4 linked regions of the Mus musculus genome follow. The protein of the gene in region 2 interacts with the protein of the main gene of each other region in a pairwise test. Links are inferred from orthologs where the notes say so. Each region holds a gene or a part of one and is shown on either strand. Other genes may lie near its edges.

The links. The genes of interacting proteins can lie anywhere in the genome.
Region 1: the proteins of Card9 (region 2) and Dusp13 interact in binary tests that used the Homo sapiens proteins (3 or more experiments, as listed by UniProt). The two-hybrid records come from large-scale screens. The link is inferred for Mus musculus from reciprocal best matches to the Homo sapiens genes CARD9 and DUSP13B.
Region 3: the proteins of Card9 (region 2) and Usp15 interact in binary tests that used the Homo sapiens proteins (3 or more experiments, as listed by UniProt). The two-hybrid records come from large-scale screens. The link is inferred for Mus musculus from reciprocal best matches to the Homo sapiens genes CARD9 and USP15.
Region 4: the proteins of Card9 (region 2) and Cwf19l2 interact in binary tests that used the Homo sapiens proteins (3 or more experiments, as listed by UniProt). The two-hybrid records come from large-scale screens. The link is inferred for Mus musculus from reciprocal best matches to the Homo sapiens genes CARD9 and CWF19L2.

What each region holds. Positions count from the first base shown.
Region 1 is NC_000080.6:21,738,699-21,742,674, reverse strand, and holds the start of Dusp13 (dual specificity protein phosphatase 13), read left to right. Parts: upstream 1-1,176; 5' UTR 1,177-1,292; coding exon 1,293-1,645; intron 1,646-2,232; exon of another isoform or gene 2,233-2,397; coding exon 2,398-2,571; intron 2,572-3,976. UniProt on the Homo sapiens protein: Dual specificity phosphatase that dephosphorylates MAPK8/JNK and MAPK14/p38, but not MAPK1/ERK2, in vitro. Exhibits intrinsic phosphatase activity towards both phospho-seryl/threonyl and -tyrosyl residues, with similar specific activities in vitro.
Region 2 is NC_000068.7:26,358,110-26,362,125, forward strand, and holds the start of Card9 (caspase recruitment domain-containing protein 9), read right to left. Parts: upstream 2,801-4,016; 5' UTR 2,678-2,800; intron 1,451-2,677; 5' UTR 1,439-1,450; coding exon 1,255-1,438; intron 843-1,254; coding exon 705-842; intron 1-704. UniProt on the Homo sapiens protein: Adapter protein that plays a key role in innate immune response against fungi by forming signaling complexes downstream of C-type lectin receptors.
Region 3 is NC_000076.6:123,194,220-123,198,519, forward strand, and holds the start of Usp15 (ubiquitin carboxyl-terminal hydrolase 15), read right to left. Parts: upstream 2,801-4,300; 5' UTR 2,697-2,800; coding exon 2,608-2,696; exon of another isoform or gene 1-2,607. UniProt on the Homo sapiens protein: Hydrolase that removes conjugated ubiquitin from target proteins and regulates various pathways such as the TGF-beta receptor signaling, NF-kappa-B and RNF41/NRDP1-PRKN pathways.
Region 4 is NC_000075.6:3,402,655-3,406,884, reverse strand, and holds the start of Cwf19l2 (CWF19-like protein 2), read right to left. Parts: upstream 2,801-4,230; 5' UTR 2,788-2,800; coding exon 2,695-2,787; intron 1-2,694.

The DNA of each region.
Region 1 (3,976 bases), on a different chromosome or scaffold from region 2:
TACAGCTAAAGAGGTAGGTGGCAAACAGCTGCCACGTCCCAGGCTGCTGAGCAAGGCCCGAGGTATGCAGGGTGGTATTCTAGAAGGCTATCCTGGGACAAACTGAAAGACAGACAACAGAGAGCAAGCTAGAGATGCTACTAGTGCCAACAAAAGGTAAGTATGTGTAGCTCTGTATACAGAGGCAGTGTGGGCAAGAAAGCCACTGTTGACAGAAGCAACTTCTCTGCTGAAGTTTCAGGGAAGTAGAAGCCAGGTAGCACTAGAGAGCCACGGGAGGACTATCATGAATGTGAACAGGGGCCTGATCCTACAAGACATTCAGCCATGGCTCCTTCTGACATAGCTGGGCCCTCCCTACACCAGGGGGTAGCAGAATCCCTGGGCTTTCTTTTGGGGGGGGTGCCTAAAGCTTAAGGAATGGCTCACTGAGTGAGCTGCTGGGCCTGGCTCTGATAGGTGAAAGGAACCCTCAGTGGACCAGAGCAGATAGCTGGGCTACATATAGCCCTAAGTAGGACCTGACCAGGAAACCCTAAGTCTAAGAAAAATCTTTCCTACAGGTCTGAGTTAGACCAGGGAAGTTAAGGACATCCCCTAATCCCCACCACCGAGCTCCTGGGACACAGTTGGGCTGCCTAGCAGCCACTGGCCACTAGAGGGCAGACTTACCCCATGCCAAATTGAGCAGGCCTGTGAGGGGCCTACGGTTTCCCGAAATCCCTGTCTAGTTCCACTCATAGCTGGAGGAGTCTAGCTGGTGGCCTCAGGCCAGAGTGGCTATTGGACTTCCCTGGATTCAGAGATCCTCCACCCTAATATTCCTTTCCCTGGTGTTACTTCATATAGCGTCATTCCCTTCTCTTGCAGCCAGCAGAATACCAGAGAGCAGAGAAAAGAAACTAAGGCCCAGATAGGAATGAAAACTTGCCTAGGTCCCAGGATATATCCTTGTCAAATTTTAAGGGGAGTCTGTTCCCTAGGCATCTCTTCAGGTGGTCCCCATCTTCAGGACAAGTGTTTTCAATAGCAGAGACACCAGGGAGAGATGTTAGGCCACTGCTCCTGTCCCCGCAGCTCAGGTCTGTCTTCATCTTGCCCCACATCCCCATTGGCTCACATGCATGGACCTGGAATTCTAGGCGCATAACAGCATTTGTGTTCTGGATGGAACCTGCTTTAGGACTGTTCCACTCAGCCTGCCCCTGCACCTAGTCCCCCATTCCTGGCCCCAGACCATGCCCTAGGTAGGTGGCAGGCCACTCAGCCTGCCAGAGAGGTCACAGAGGGGGATGAGGGAGAAAGGCCGGCCCTCTCTTCCACCCAGCTCATCATCCACTGGCTGGGTGAGTGTGGCCAAGCCAGTGGCCTCCTGGGTGCCCATCTCTTTTTCTGGTTTTGGCAGTGCCTGCCAGAGGGAAAAGGCATTCTACCCAGTCTGTACCTACTCGAGTTACTCTTTGAGGGGACCAGGGGTAGTTGACCAAGGTAGGTTCCCCTTCCCTCTAAGGTACCAGGCTCAGGTTCTGGTGCCTCTGACACCTCAGCTCTGCAAGGGCCCAGATGGACTAAGCCAGATGACTCCAGACATAACCCACTCCTTCCGGGTGAGGCCTGTACAGGTGTACTGGCCTGAACCACAAGGGTAAGGAGGAAAAAAGCCCGGGGCCTGTAAGTGGATGTGTAGCTCATCCCTGACAGCTCCCTAGAGGAGACACATCAGTTGGTGACCACCCTCTGGCAACTGGAAGGCTTGGGGAATGAACTGAAGGCACACACTGGATATCAAGCTCAGGGTAGTCTTTAGCCATTTGTCATTTGTCATTGGTGTCAGTGTGAAACATGGAACACAGCACAAGGGATACAGCCTGCTTATGAGCGACACCAGCTCACTTGGTGTGAACAAGCTGACTAATGCCCACTTGTGGCTGGACTGTAACCCTGGACAGTGCTTTGACCTCCTCTAGCATCAGCCTTAGAAACAGCCAGGGTGGGAGCTACAGATGAGCTGCCTGGCTTTGGAGGGACATCCTAGGTCCTCTCCAAGAGCCTCCGCCAGCTGGGGTTTCCAGTGACTAAAGGGGTACGGTCTGCACAGATTAGCCCTACAGAGATTCCCCACGGTCCCTAAGACCAACATTTCTAACATCCGTTGCCTCAGGAAAGGTACGCTTAGCGCCATGGAATTGACAAGAGAGTTCTAGTTCTCCTTGTTCCCAGGGAAAAGGTTCTAGGTTCCAGGCCAGCTGAGCCGGGTAATAGCCTCATTCAGCATAGCTGAGGCTGGCCCCCACAGCATCCCACTGGCTCCTGGTACTGCAACACAGGTCTCCCTGTCCACTGGACCCACGCTTGGGGAGCCTGTTCCAGCTACTGTCCTGTTTACTCTGTTCCCAGAATGGACTCGCTACAGAAGCAGGAACTTCGGAGGCCAAAGATTCATGGGGCAGTCCAGGTGTCCCCCTACCAGCCACCCACACTGGCCTCTCTGCAGCGATTGCTGTGGGTCCGTCGGACTGCCACACTGACCCACATCAATGAGGTCTGGCCCAACCTTTTCTTGGGAGATGCGTAAGTAAGACCCATGTAGGGGTTTAGGGTGGCTGATGGGTGGGAGTACCAGGATAAGCCTCCTCCAGATGGCCCACAGTGCTTCTCACCGCTGCCTGCATTTGCCTTTCTCATGTTTGTTTGGAAACATACAGTTTCATCTTTCAGGCCATGGAATAGAGAATTCCTTGTATCCTAGAAGTGACCTGTTTTAGTGGATAAACCACACTTCAAGAGACAAAGCTCTCTCTCTTCTCTTCTTTTCTTTTGTACCCCTGGTTGGCTCGAATTCCCTATGTAGCTGAGGATACCTTGAGTTTCTGATCCTCCAGCCTTCACCTCCAAAGAGCTGGTTTTACAAGTGTGCATTGCCACCATGCCTGTTTTATGCTGGTGATCACACCCAGGGCTTTGCACGTACTAGGCAGGCGCTCTGCAAATTGAGCTGTGAACCTAGCCTACCTGAAACCATCATCGTCCTCATTGACTCAGTCCCACTGGATGTCCTGGAACTCACTAGGTAGAATAGGCTGGCCTCAAACTCATAAAGATCCTCCTGCTTCTGCCTTCTAAGTGTATGCTACCATGCATCTCTCATTTCTATTGGTGTATATTCATTGTATATTGGGATGGGTTTAGCAGATTTTTCAAGCTTTACTGTGTATTTGATCTTATTCACCTCCCTATTCTCTCCCCCATTTTCTTTCTTTCTTTTTTTTTTAAGATTTATTTGTTTATTATATGTAAGTACACTGTAGCTGTCTTCAGACACCTCAGAAGAGGGCATCAGATCTCATTACAGATGGTTGTGAGCCACCATGTGGTTGCTGGGCTTTGAACTCAGGACCTTTGGAAGAGCAGTCAGTGCTCTTAAATGCTGAGCCATCTCTCCAGCGCCCCCCCCCCCAATTTCTTTTAAATTTGAGACTGGGTCTCACTGCAGCTAACTTGTAATTGTCTAGGAAGACTAGGTTAGCCTTGACCTTACAGAGACCCACCTTCCTCTGCCTGCAGAGCTAGAATTCAAGTCGTGTACTGCTGTGCCCACCCCCACCCCCCCACATGCCCTCCTTTTTTCTCTTTCTCACTCACTAGTTTGGTTCCTTCCACCAGATAATCTTGCTTCAGCTTTAGTGTCATATGTATGTAGTACATATGTGATTTTATGTAGCTATATAGCTATATAAAACCTAGGAGCTACTCAGATTAGCAAATGCATGCTATGTTCTGGGTCTGTGCTATTTCATTTGATATGACCACCATTTGCACCCAATTCAAAAGCAGCATTTATTTTTCTTTCTAGTTTTGCCTTAAATACTTCAGATATGCCTTTTGCCAGCCTTCTAAAGTTAGAGCAAAAAATATTTAAAATTTACCTTGTGGTTAAGGCAATGGCTCAGCAGTTAAGAGCACTGACTGCTCTCGC
Region 2 (4,016 bases):
GGACAGAGGGAGCATTCCTGGCCTCCCACAGAGAAAACTGGTAGGATGGGTCTCTCAAGACTGAGTGTGCTCAGTAGGCCCAGTTGGCCTTGCTGTCCCTCACAGGTGAACTGAGATTCTGACTCATCACCCAGGGCCACTCACATGCCCTGGGTGAAGACTCCAGTTGACCCTCTTCTCCCCCTAGCCCCTGGTTTTTGAGACAACGTCTTGCTATGTAGTCCAGTCTGGCCTCTCACTCAAGAGATCTGTTGGCCTCTGCCTCCAGACTACCAGGGCTAAAGGTGTGTGCCATCGCCCCTGCCCTGTTTATCTCACAGTGCTCTTTATGAGATGAATGAGAATTGATGGGGTTGTGGCTCTTCCATCAGGAGAGGACACCTCTGTCCCCTCTGGGAACTGTAGGATTCTGCTCTTGGCTGACAACTGGGCCCTGCAGAAATGGCACTTCAGAGGGGTCACTACTTCTCAGTGAAATTTCCAGGCTGTGAGTAGGAAAGGCAGAGAAGGGCTCCCCTTCTAGAGACCAGTAAGAGCTCAGCAATTCAGGAAGACCCTGCCCCCTAGAGCCTGTGAGTATCATCAGGGACCACTACCCTGATCTACATCGTAAGGCTTGTTATCACACTTAGTCACTCCAACGCCATCATAGAAGCCAGGACCCGAGTCCACCCACAGCAACAACCCACACCCGTGCCTCTCACCAATGATCATGGAGAAGACGCGTGCTGGCTCCTTGCCAGTGACTTTCCGGTATAACTGAGGGTAGTAGAGCTCCAGGCTCTCGAGGAAAGCCACGTAGCCCTTGTGGCCTGTCCGCTGCAGGATGTCCAGGAGCACACCTTCAGGTGGAAGACAGAGTCAAGGCCAAGGGCTGGCGGGTGGAGGCTCTTGGAGATGGGTAGGATGATTACTCTGGGTAGACATCCCAAGCTCTAGCAACCCCCTTCCTTCTGGGCCATTGAATAAGGCGCCCTGCAGGTCTCAAGTCTAGGTGGGACAGGGTGCTGCCTTCCCTCTGGTGGCTGTCTCAGGCAGGGCCTGAACAGTGGTGGGGACTCCCCTTCCTCCACTGGGCAACAGCAGGTAGACAGGACAAGAGGGGAGGAGTCTCTCACTCATATATCCTACACGGGGATGGAGCTGAGTGGGGACAAGGCCAGGGCAGTGAAGAGAGCATGGAGTGGCCTCTGGCTGGGTGTCTTATGGGGGTCATGCAGGGCTAGAGCCTGCTGGTGTGGGAGCAGTCCTCACCCACTTTCCGCTTGCGGATGACCAGGTTGGGGTCACTGAGCACCTGCTCCTCATCATCGGGGTTCAGGACTTTGCACTGGCGTAGATAGGGTGTGATCCGGGAGGGGTCAATGACAGAGATGAGCTTCACCCGGAAGCTCTCCAGGGTGCTCCAGCACTCGTCGTCATTCTCATAGTCTGACATGTCCTCTGTAGGCTGCGGTTATAATTGGGGAGAGCAGCTGAGGAAGTGCCCACCTTCTGTTCCCTGTCAGCCTAGGATAGGACCCAGGCCTGAGTGTCAGGGCAGGGCTTTGGGCAGGGTCAGAAGGGATCCGTTCTAGGGAAATTTCAGGGCTCAGCCCTATCTCCTCAGCCTCATGGACAGTTTCTGAGGGGAAGCAGAGGTCCATAGACAAGCCACCTCAGACCACCTGTCAAACTGAGCACCCCCAAGCAGCTGCCCGGCCCCTGTCATCTCAGGCTTTCTCATATGGATATGTAGGGAAGTGACCGGTTGGGGTCTAAGAGAATACTCTTTGTACAACAGCCCTGCTCTAGCTTCTGCCCCTACCCAAAAGTGCTCTGGCATGCCCTGGAGGTAGGAGCTTTTGCCTCTAGTGGCCATCCTACATAGTACCTTCTTGGGTGGCATGGACCCTTGCTGGCCAGTCTCCAGATTGGGACTAAGAGGGTCAGGTTGGCTGGAGGCTTTCTCACTGTGCAGGGGGCCAGGCCTATGTCTGACTTCCTCCTTCCCTGACAGCCCCGTGCCCTTCAGGCCTTCCGTTGTAGCCAGCTGGTGATGCAACAGCCTGTGGCACGGTGCTATTCCGGGAGGGCTGGGAGGGTTGGCCGCAGGAGCATGTCTGCCTTCCTGCTAGGCTGGAGTATACTGGAAGGGCAGGCAATGTCATCCACAGTCTACAGACATCTGCTGTGGCTTCCCTCCAGTTTGCTTTTCTGCCGCTAGATGAGCCCTGGCCTTTGGCCACATGATGGGAATCAACCAGGCCAGTTGTATGTAGGGGGTTACTCATGTGGACAAGTGTAGCCTCAGTGAATGGCTTCAATGATTTTAGGGCTGAGTTAAGGTGGCCATAGAGCGCCCCTGGCTCAGTCCCTAACCCCAGCGGAGCTGCACCTCCAGTTAGAGACACGGCCATGGCAGGCCTCTTCTTCAGAGGCATCTCTTGGCTTCCTGCTGCTTTCTGGTTGACCCAGTGGACAGACATTTCTCTAAACCTTGGGCCTATGGCCTGCCATTGCAGCCCCACAGCCACATGGTCCAGCACTGGAGGACTATGCTGCAGTGTACAAGGATTAATCAAATGAAGGCGTGAGGATGGAGGATGCCACCTGCCTGTAGGTACTTACGCGCTCCAGGATCCCCAGCAGTCACCACAGGCTTCCACCCACCTTCCTGGAAGGGTACTGAACTTACCTCAGGGTCTTGTGAGAGCTACCTGCCAGCAGATGCTGTCTGGGTTATGGACATACCAGGAGCCTGGGTCTCTGGGAGTGTGGAGGGGTTCCCTAACTGGAGAAGGGTGGAGCCATGAAGGAGGCTGTGCACTTCCTGATTGATGTGTTCTGGTTGACGCCACAAGCCAGCCAGTCCTCCCGCAGGGGACAGTCTACCTTCTGATTGGCCCATCCAGGAACAGAACAGAGGGAAGTAGAAGTACTCTGGGAGCAGAGGAGCCCTCCCTGCCTGCTCATCTGAACTGGATGGGCAGTCCAAGGTCCTCCTGGATCCAGGCTTCTGAAAGTTGCTTTTCTAACATGGCCCTGCCTCATATCCTCATCTGCCGTCTAAGGACAGTGGTGCAGGGTAGGTGCAGTGGGACAAAGCTTGGTCAAAATCTACAAGCTGTAGGCAGCTATAGTCCTCTATGGATTGCGTGCCACAGCCTCTCCTTCAGGGTGGCCCTTCAAGAGTCAGCCTGAGGTGGGCGTGGGGACCTGCTAGCCCTGCCCAGCCAGTGTAGCTGTTAGACAGGCGCTGCTGTCTAGCCTACAAGATGAGTTGAGGCAAAAGCTTCCAGTGCTGTATGGGAAGGAAGGGTGGGACACTTATGCAGAGCCCCAGCTGGCCCCTTCTGTAGCTTACTGGCCCTCTGCTTGCTCCTATGGGGACAGTGGCCTTGAAAATACTTCCAAAAGCAGCAGTCAGGAGTCCTCTTTGGCCTTGGGGGGCCACACTGCTAGGGATTGTGGCTTGCTGGGTTTCCAGGACGGCAAGGGAGTCCATCCATGGCTTTGCAGTCACTCCAGGAAGGAGGTCACAAGGCCTCCACAGTGGTGGCTTCTTAAAAGTGTTAATAACATGAAACTTTTGCTCATAAAACTGAAGTGGAAGTCAATAGCACAGATAGCTGAAGAAACCCCAAGTTCTCCAGAATGGAGAAACCCAGTGCAGAGGTTAGAAGGAGCCATGACAAACACGCGTCCCTGGATGTGTGACGGCCATCAGCTGGAGTGACAGCTGGTACAATCACTAGGACTAGGCTGGTCATACCATTTTACTATGAGCTGCAAGCTTCCCACAGAGGATGAACACATGTAAAAACTAAATCCTGGCCAGCCTGGTCTACAGAGGGAGTTCCAGGACAGCCAGGGCTACACAGAGAAACCTTGTCTCGAAAAACAAAAACAAAACAAACAAACAAAAAATAACTAAATCCTGGAGAGCCAAGGGCCCAGGATGTATAGTCTGGTGTCATGGAAATAGTGACTAAGAAAAAGGAGAGATGAACCGGCAGTTAAGAGCACTGACTGCT
Region 3 (4,300 bases), on a different chromosome or scaffold from region 2:
AAATTTTCTAAATTCTAATTTAACTTTGCTTATGGTTTCCTCACTGTCTTGTCAGAACGGAAACAGACAAACAACTAGCATTGTGAGACTACCGATTTATTCCTTGTCAATGAGTGTCACCTTGCTAGCTCACCTGTCATAGGGAGAACTCTTGTACCACTGTTTACCTACTTCTTACTGCACGTCCAGTGCCAGTCGTACAGAATGCTCTCTTTATCTCAGCACAACTTGTGTACTCAAATCACCACCCATAAACAAATAAACAGAGATGGGTATTCATGAAGACCCAAATCAAATACAAATATCTGCCTAGGTAGTTGAGTTAGTTTGCAAAGTGCTCAGGAGCTAATGTGGTGAAATTTAACGCACCTCACTATAATTTCAAAACTCTGTACGAAGATTTCCAGATTATGGTAAGCCTATCTCTTTTTTTCTTAGTAGCAGAATCAGCATGAAGAACTGTATTAAAAGGCAGCATCATTAGGAATGTTGAGAACCACTGATTTACACAAAATAGAAAATTAACAAGGAGGTAAAACTTGCATATTTAGCTGCTGCCTAAAAACTGGACTTAAGTTCTTTCTTGAAATTAAGGCATTGTAACAACCCAAGTATAGACTTAACTTGTACATTTTGACGTGGTTTACGGTAACTGTCAAGAAAAATATACTCGCTTAAAAATAACCAACTTTAAAAGTAGTTTAATATCCACAATACAGGTATTTCTTAAATCATATATTACCATGAACACCAATTATACGTGATATTACTCAACAGAAAAACATTAGTGAGAAAACTATCCACATTCTAAAAAATATTTCTATTTTATCGGTAGTCATATTTATATTTGTATGATACAATAAATGAGTGAATTGGTTTTTAAAAAATGTTCTTCAATATACCAGAGAGAAGAAGCTTGAATTTATCTGTTAAGATCGCACAGGCCAAGGGGAGCATAGGTGTTCTAGGGAATGCCCGATTTCTTCTCAGCAATAAACTCCGTAAGAAAAACAAAAGCAGACTATAAGCAATAATGACTTAAGCCTCTGCAAGGCTGTAATGCAACAAGTGTGTTTTCCATCATCAAGGTTCTTAATTACACAAAGTGTTTGCCGTCTTACAAACTAAGGATCCAAGAACTTCAATTCAGGTCCCCCAGCTGTCGCCTATTAGCTAACTCGAAAATGATTCCAACCCCACAGCACTTGTCTGGAATTAATGGCAGAAATAAAAAAGATCACTAAAACTTAGTATTTCATGAATACCAGATAGTTCAGAATATTTAGCTGAATTAATATAGAGCAAACACAATAACATCGTTATTGCTCTTTGAACAGATGGAGATGCGGAGGCTCAATGGCTTGGATGAATTTGCTTCCAAGTCACACTGCAAAGTATGAGGTGGACCTGTGAATAAATCAGGTCTAAGTCTCTTTCCACCGCGCCACACTGGAGTGCCTAACAAGCACTTGAGAACTGTGAATAAATCAGGTCTTAAGTCTCTTTCCACTAGCCACACTGGAGTACCTAACAGGCACTTGAGACGCTATAAACCACTAGTACGGAGACAGAAGGAAGGAAAAGTAACTTAGGAAGAAAGAAAGAAAGAAAGAAAGAACGAAAGAACACACAGGCACACTGCCCTTCCCCTAAAACAGAACTTTCCCTTTATTTAAATAATTCTGTAAGTTAACTGCTTTGGCTGACGAGTGTTAAATTTTGTACATGCTTCCTCTAGTTATTTAGGTACAGTACCCTCTTATTTTGGCATTTTACAAGTTTGAATATGAGCAAGCCTTTAAGCTTCAAGTGGACTTATCTACTTTCTGCAGGCCTACGTTATCCTTCAAACCGGAGGGAAGGGCTGCACTTCCAAACAGAAGCGCTGCCGGCTCCTATCGAGCCAGGAGCAAAGCACAGGACCACGTGGTGCCTCTCTCTCTCTCTCTCTCTCTCTCTCTCTCTCTCTCTCTCTCTCTCTCTCTCTCAAGAAAAAAAAATTAAAAAAACAAGGTCCCTACACCGCTCCCTCCTTTTTGACAAGGAAGTGGAAATTAGGGGTTTCCTTTTCAGCGGAGCCCTGACACACACCACCTGTGTGGTCCCCGCCGCAAACATCCTGAAGCCCGGCTCCCGGAAGACTACAAGGATCGGAATAATGGGGAACTTGGGTGCGGACGACGCCGGGGAAGGAGTGACCAGAGAAGCGCGGCGGGCGAGCGAGGAGGAGCGGCGCGACCGGGATCTGTCAAAAAAAAAAAAAAAAAAAAAAAAAAAAAAAAAAAAACCAGCGGCAGGCAGGCTCACGCCGAGCCACTGCACCCGGGCTCCGCCAAGGCCCCAAGTGGGAGCGGCACTGCCGGAGGGAGGAGGACCCGGAGCCCCGCGAGCCCCGGCCGCCGCTTCCGCGCAGCCCCGGGCGCGCACCGCCCACCGCGAGCCCCGGCCCTCTGCGCCGGTCCAACCTTTGCCCCCAAAATCTGCTGCCTGAGCGGCCGCCGCCGGACCTGTCCGCACCTGTCACCAGCCGGCGACACCAGCCCACCGCTCCCGCCCAGCTCTCCGCCAGCCTCGGGCCCCCGCGGGCCCCGCGACCCCGTTCCCTACCAGGTGTCCCCTTTCCGGAGCGAGGTTTTGAGCAGCGTCGCGATGTCAGAACGCTGGGTGTCCAGGTCCGCCGCTCCGCCTTCCGCCATCTTCTTCCACTAGCCGTAGCGGAGGCGGCGGCGACGGCGGCGGCACGCCCCGGAGCATTGTGGGAATGGCGTCCCCGGCCCCGCCCCGCCGGCAGGTCTGTACCAAATGGGGCGCGAGGGCGGGGGTCTGGGGGCGTGGCTCGGCGGGGAGCGCGGCGGGTGCGCGCCTGCGCCCTGCTGCCCCCTCGGGTCCCCGCACGCCCCGCAGCACGGCGTGGTCGCCGCCGCCGCCCCAGACCTCTGAGTTTGCACGGTTCTCACCGGGTGCCGCGCTTTCTCTCCCTGCCTTTGCCCTGCCCTGCTCGGACTCTCCTTGCCATGCTGGCCCTTTTCTTGCCGCAGCCGCCTCCAAACCCATGTTTTTGCGGGTTCACTCCTACTGGAGGGCGGGGCCGGCTGGGACATGGCAGAAAGCGCGCAGTTCCGTGACTTGGGGCTTTTCCTTTCCAGCCGCAGAGCCCAAGCCCACTGAATATTGGCACAAAGAGGGCTCTGAAACCAAAGGTTTGGGCGCAGTGCCCTTCCTAGGTTCTTCCCAGCTCTCCCATGCTTGCTGTCTGTAGGGACTTCTACCTTTCATAAGCTCTTTGTGACGCCTCCTAGCGCGCGTGGACACACACACACACACACACACACACACACACACACACACACACGTTAGCTGCAGTGCAAAACATGTCCCAGTTTCTAGGTGAACAAGCAGTTAAAGATGTATTGAATAAGGCCAGGTACTGAAGGGGGTTAGAAACGTGGGAGAAACCTCATGGGCGTCAAATTAGCATTCCCCTAGATTAAATTTCATGGTTGTATATGCCTAAAGTTAGACTCGATAATACAAGCTGCATTTGAAGGCAACAATTACAAACGGGGAAATTGAGCCTCTTAAAAATCAAATGCCAAGGTCACACGGCAACTGGAAGTGCAAGGTTATCGCACAGATTTCAAATCCCCAGTACTCAGTACCTCCATGAAAGGCTGAATTAAGATACAAACTCCGTAAAAGCTGCAACTAAGTTCTCTTTATAATTTGGCGTGTGAGTGTGCGTGTGTGTGCGTGTGTGTGCGTGTGTGTGTGTGTGTGTGTGTGTGTGTGTGTGTGTGTGCACTGCGGTTTAATGGTCTAGTACCATTCTACACCATTTGAGGCAAACGTTTCAAAATTAACTAAGGCAAAACTGCTGTTTCTAAGAATGAAGACGGCTACCTCAGTAGAACAGTAGGTGACAAGTTAAAGGATGGGCAATGGTCTCTCCATTTTTTAAGCCTCCTAGTTTTGGTGGGAAACTCAGTAAGGAAGGGGGTGCCTGCATTAGTGAGGACTGCTGGCCCATCCAAGAGAAAGCAGTGTTTCCCTGGTTAGGGTTTGTCAGCTTGACAGAAACTAAAGTCACTTGGAAAGAGGGGAACCTTAATTATGGGATTGCCTCCCTTAGAGTAGCCTGTGATGAGTCAGTGGAGCATTTTCTTGTTTAACGATCGGTGTGGTAAACCCACTGTGGGCAGGTGGTCCTGAGTTGTGTAAGAAAACAAGCTGAGCAAGCCATAAAAAGCAGTGTCCGTCCACGTACTCTGCTCTGGGTTCCTGTTGAGCTCTGGCTGTGACC
Region 4 (4,230 bases), on a different chromosome or scaffold from region 2:
ATTTATAATAGCCAGAAGCTGGAAACAACCCAGATGTCCCTCAACGGAAGAATAGATACAGAAAATAAGGTACATTAACACAATGGAATACTGCCCAGCTATTAAAATGACAACTACGAACTTTGTAGGCAAATGGATGGAACTAGAAAATATAATCCTGAGTGAGGTAACCAGACCCAAAAGAACATACATGGTATGTACTCATTGGTAAGTGGATACTAACTGAAATACTCAGAATACCCATGATACAACCCACAGATCATATTAAGCTTAACAAGAAGGAAGGGCATAGCGTGTATGCATCAAACCCACTTAGAAGGAGGAACAAAATAATCACGGGAGGCAGAGGAAAGGAGGGTTCTGGGTGGGAAAGGGGCGGGGAAGGAAAGGAGGGGCCAGCGGAGGCAGTACCAGGTATTGGAAGAGACAGGAGATAGGAGAGAAGTCCATAGGCCCAGGAGAAGGAATAGAAATAAGTACCAGTGGGGGTGGGGAACTTGGGGAAGTACTAGAAAGTCCTCAACACCAGGAATTCGAGAGACTCCCAGGACCCAATGGGGATGACATTTGCCAAAATAGCCAACAGTAGGAAGATAGAACCTGAAGAGATCATCTCCAGTAGATAGACATGGCCCCCATGGGAGGGATGGGGCCAACCCCTACCCCATCTAAAAAAATTTAACTCATAATTGTCCCTATCTAAAGGAAATGCCAGGACAAAAATGGAGCAGAGGCTGAAGAAAAGGCCATCCAGAGACCTCCCCACTGTGGGATCCATTCCATCCACAGACACCAACACACTCCCCACCCCCCTTACTATTGCTGAAGCCAAGATGTGTTTGCAGACAGGAGCCTGGTATAGCTCTGAGGGGCTTTGCCAGCACCTGACTAAGAGAGATGCAGATACTCACAGCTAACCATTGAACTGAGCCTGGGGATCCTAATGGAAGAGTTAGGGGTAAAGGAGCTGAAGAGGATTGCAACCCCATAGAAAGAATAACAGTATCAATTTAACCAGAGTTCCCAGGAACTAAACTACCAACCAAAGAGTCCATGGCTCCCCCTACATATGTAGCAGAGGATTATTGCCTCATCTGGCATCAATGGGAGGGGAGGTGCTTGGTGCTGTGGAGGCTTGATACCCTAGAGAAAGTGGATGCTAGAGGACTGAGACAGGAGTGGGTGGTGGAAGGGGAAGTACCCTCTTAGAGGCAAAAGGGAGGAGGAAGGGTGGAAGGATTTGTGAAGAGGAGACTGGGAAGGGGAATAACATTTGAAAGATAAACAAAATGATTAATAAAAGGAAGTTATTAATAGCTTTCCTTTGGGACTACCAATCTTCACTAAATTTGGGTACAAATCACACACAGTATTCAGTACAAGACTAACATATATCCTCTTTTCTCTCTGTCTCAAATAGGATTTGGAATCACTTTAACCTTCATTGTCACTGTGGCTAGTTCTTTAGACTTTCCCAAAAGTTATAAATCTGACCTTTTTCCATGCCTTCAAAATAGACAGTGCCAATACAATTGACTCAGAAAAGTTATCCTCTTAAAAAGAAAGAACCATATGGCTAATTTCTAGTCAGCAGTCAACAATAGTAATACAATGCAAGAAGTTTCTTCTGCTTTCTCATCCATCTGTCAAAATTCCTAAGCTGACTTTGGTCCTTATCAAACTGTATGTAGATTTGTCTAAAATTCTTCACAGCTGACAAAGAGTTTCTTCCAAAAACTGTTTGAAATATCAAACAGACAGTCATTATGATTATTCATTATATCTATTTTGAAATCAGCCAATATTCATGATGCTTTATCTGACCAAGACTAACTGCCCACCCATCCCCTTAAAATGTGACTGAAGGAAGGCATTACTCATTCTTCCTATTTATTTTCTACTCTCTATATGCATTTAAACTTATTTAAAATTCTTTTATCATAAAACAAAAAACCCAAAACATAGTCACGGAACATTCCGTTGTTCAACTACAAATTCATCTTTTTCACTGTCACAATTAATCAGGAATAACTGTCAATAACTGTTCAATAATTTACTTCTTCCGTTTTTATAAACTCCATACATTTCAATGTTAATGAGAATTCTGTTTCCAAAACCTGGGGTCGGGGAGCACATATTCTGAGTCTCTTATGCTAAAACAGTGTTTCAATCAGTAAAGGCTGGCCTAAGCCTGGAGTTGAAAGGAAAACGTGGAGGAAACACCAACGTATTCAAATGTGTCCTACTTCCAATAAGCCGGGGCAATGACTCATGCTTCGAATTAACTGGTAAGAAGAGTCCTCGGATGTGACACTGGACACAGAAACTGAGCAATCCAGGCGGCTGAAATATCAAGAGTGCTTAAAAACTAAGGAAACTGGAAGGAAACCAATCAATCTTTTTGCGGAGAGAAATAGCAAATGGAGCCGGTCCGAGCGTTTAGAAGACAACTGCATTGGAAAAAGACCAAAATCAGACAAGGTGAGATACCGAAGTAACGAGAGAAGTGAGTGGACTATCTCCCAGGATTCTCAAGTCCTACAACTTTTAAATAACATTCCGAAACCGTAAGATTTATAAAACGAAAGTATTTCAAGAACTAAATCTCGGAAAGCGATTACCTAGCATGCAGAAGCCCTTAGTACAACCCCAGTTTTAAAAAGGAAGAAAGAAAATTCTCCAAAGCCGGGATACCTGGCGTAACACCTCGGCCCTGGCATTACGGGTCTGTTCTTTTCGCTCTTCGATACTGCTAGCACTTTCAAATCTTACACTAAACGCCTCCATAGTTGTTGCCGTCGAAAAGCAAGGACGCCGTCGGGAAACCTCGGTTTACGACTGTCGTAATTTAGAAACCGAATCTGCATTTCAAAATAGTAGGGAAGGGGCGTTACTATGCCAACAGAGCAGGCGCAGTTCCGAATGTTTCGCCTGTGAAAGGTTCAGCGGAAACTTGTAGCCTGCTGGAGAGTTGATCTTTCAGATGTACTAGGTTCGCTAAGCGCTGAGTTAATATAAACATGCGTTATTATGAGCCCTGCGATATATTAACTCATTTCTCAATAGGACTCTTAAAACACTCCAGTAAGCTAGAAGTTACTTACTTCCCCCTTCTTGCCTGACTTCCTGTGACTGTGCATCAACCTGAAGGGAACCTGATCAGAAAGTCAGAACGTGGGGGGAAAAGGGAAAAACAAAAATTGCTCTTAAGAATCAGTATAGGGGCTGGAGAGATGACTCAGTGGTTAAGAGCACTGACTGCTCTTCCAGATGTCCTGAGTTCAATTCCCAGGAACCACGTGGTGGCTCACAACCCTCTGTAATGGGATTGAACGCCCTCTTCTGGTGTGTCTGAAAACAGTGACAATGTACTCATATAAGTAAAATAAGTAATTAAAAAAAAAAGTTCAGTATTTTTCTTTGATGGGTGTCTTGAAATATATTTAAAACTGGGGTAGAGAGATGGGTCAGTGATTTAGGTGCTAACTGTTCTTGCAAAGGACCTAAGGCCACATCCAGGAACTCACAGGGATCATCAAAACCATCTCTAGCTCCATTTCCAGGAGATCTCCCTCTTCTGGCCTCCACAGGCATTGCAACTACATGATGACATAACACTCATTAAATAAATAAATAAATAAATAAATAAATAATTCTTAATTATTTGGAGGTCAAGACTTGGTGTTGCACAAGCCTGGGTGCAGGAAGAGTCCTCATCACCCAGAAGAAAGATGCCTTGGTTGTGTGGTTATCTCTCATAAAGAAAAAACAGTGACCTCTGTTGTATTTATTGCATCTTGCATAATTAAGTCTCTGTATCAAAAGACTAGCCCCATCTGTGCTTCATTTGATTCGCCCACTAGGATAGAAACAGGAAAGTTGAAATAAGCCATTTCTATCTCCTTTTGCCCATATCAACTCAGCAAATTTAAGATGACAAACTTGAATGGTTACAACCCCTTTATTTGATTCATTATGTTTGTGAGGCAGCACTCCAGTTTGTGCATCTGAAGCAAGGATAACCAGCCAATTCAGAGTTGATAGGAAGGGCTAATATACCTGCCCACGCATTACCAAAGGCACTCAAAAAGACTTGCCATGAAATATTGAAGGCTAAACGCACTGATGATTTTCGAAAACCTTGCTTCTCCGTAGGGAGAGCTTTGAAATTTCTTTTGTTGTTGTTGTTGTTGTTGTTGTTGTTGTTGTTGTTGAGAAGCAATACTCATG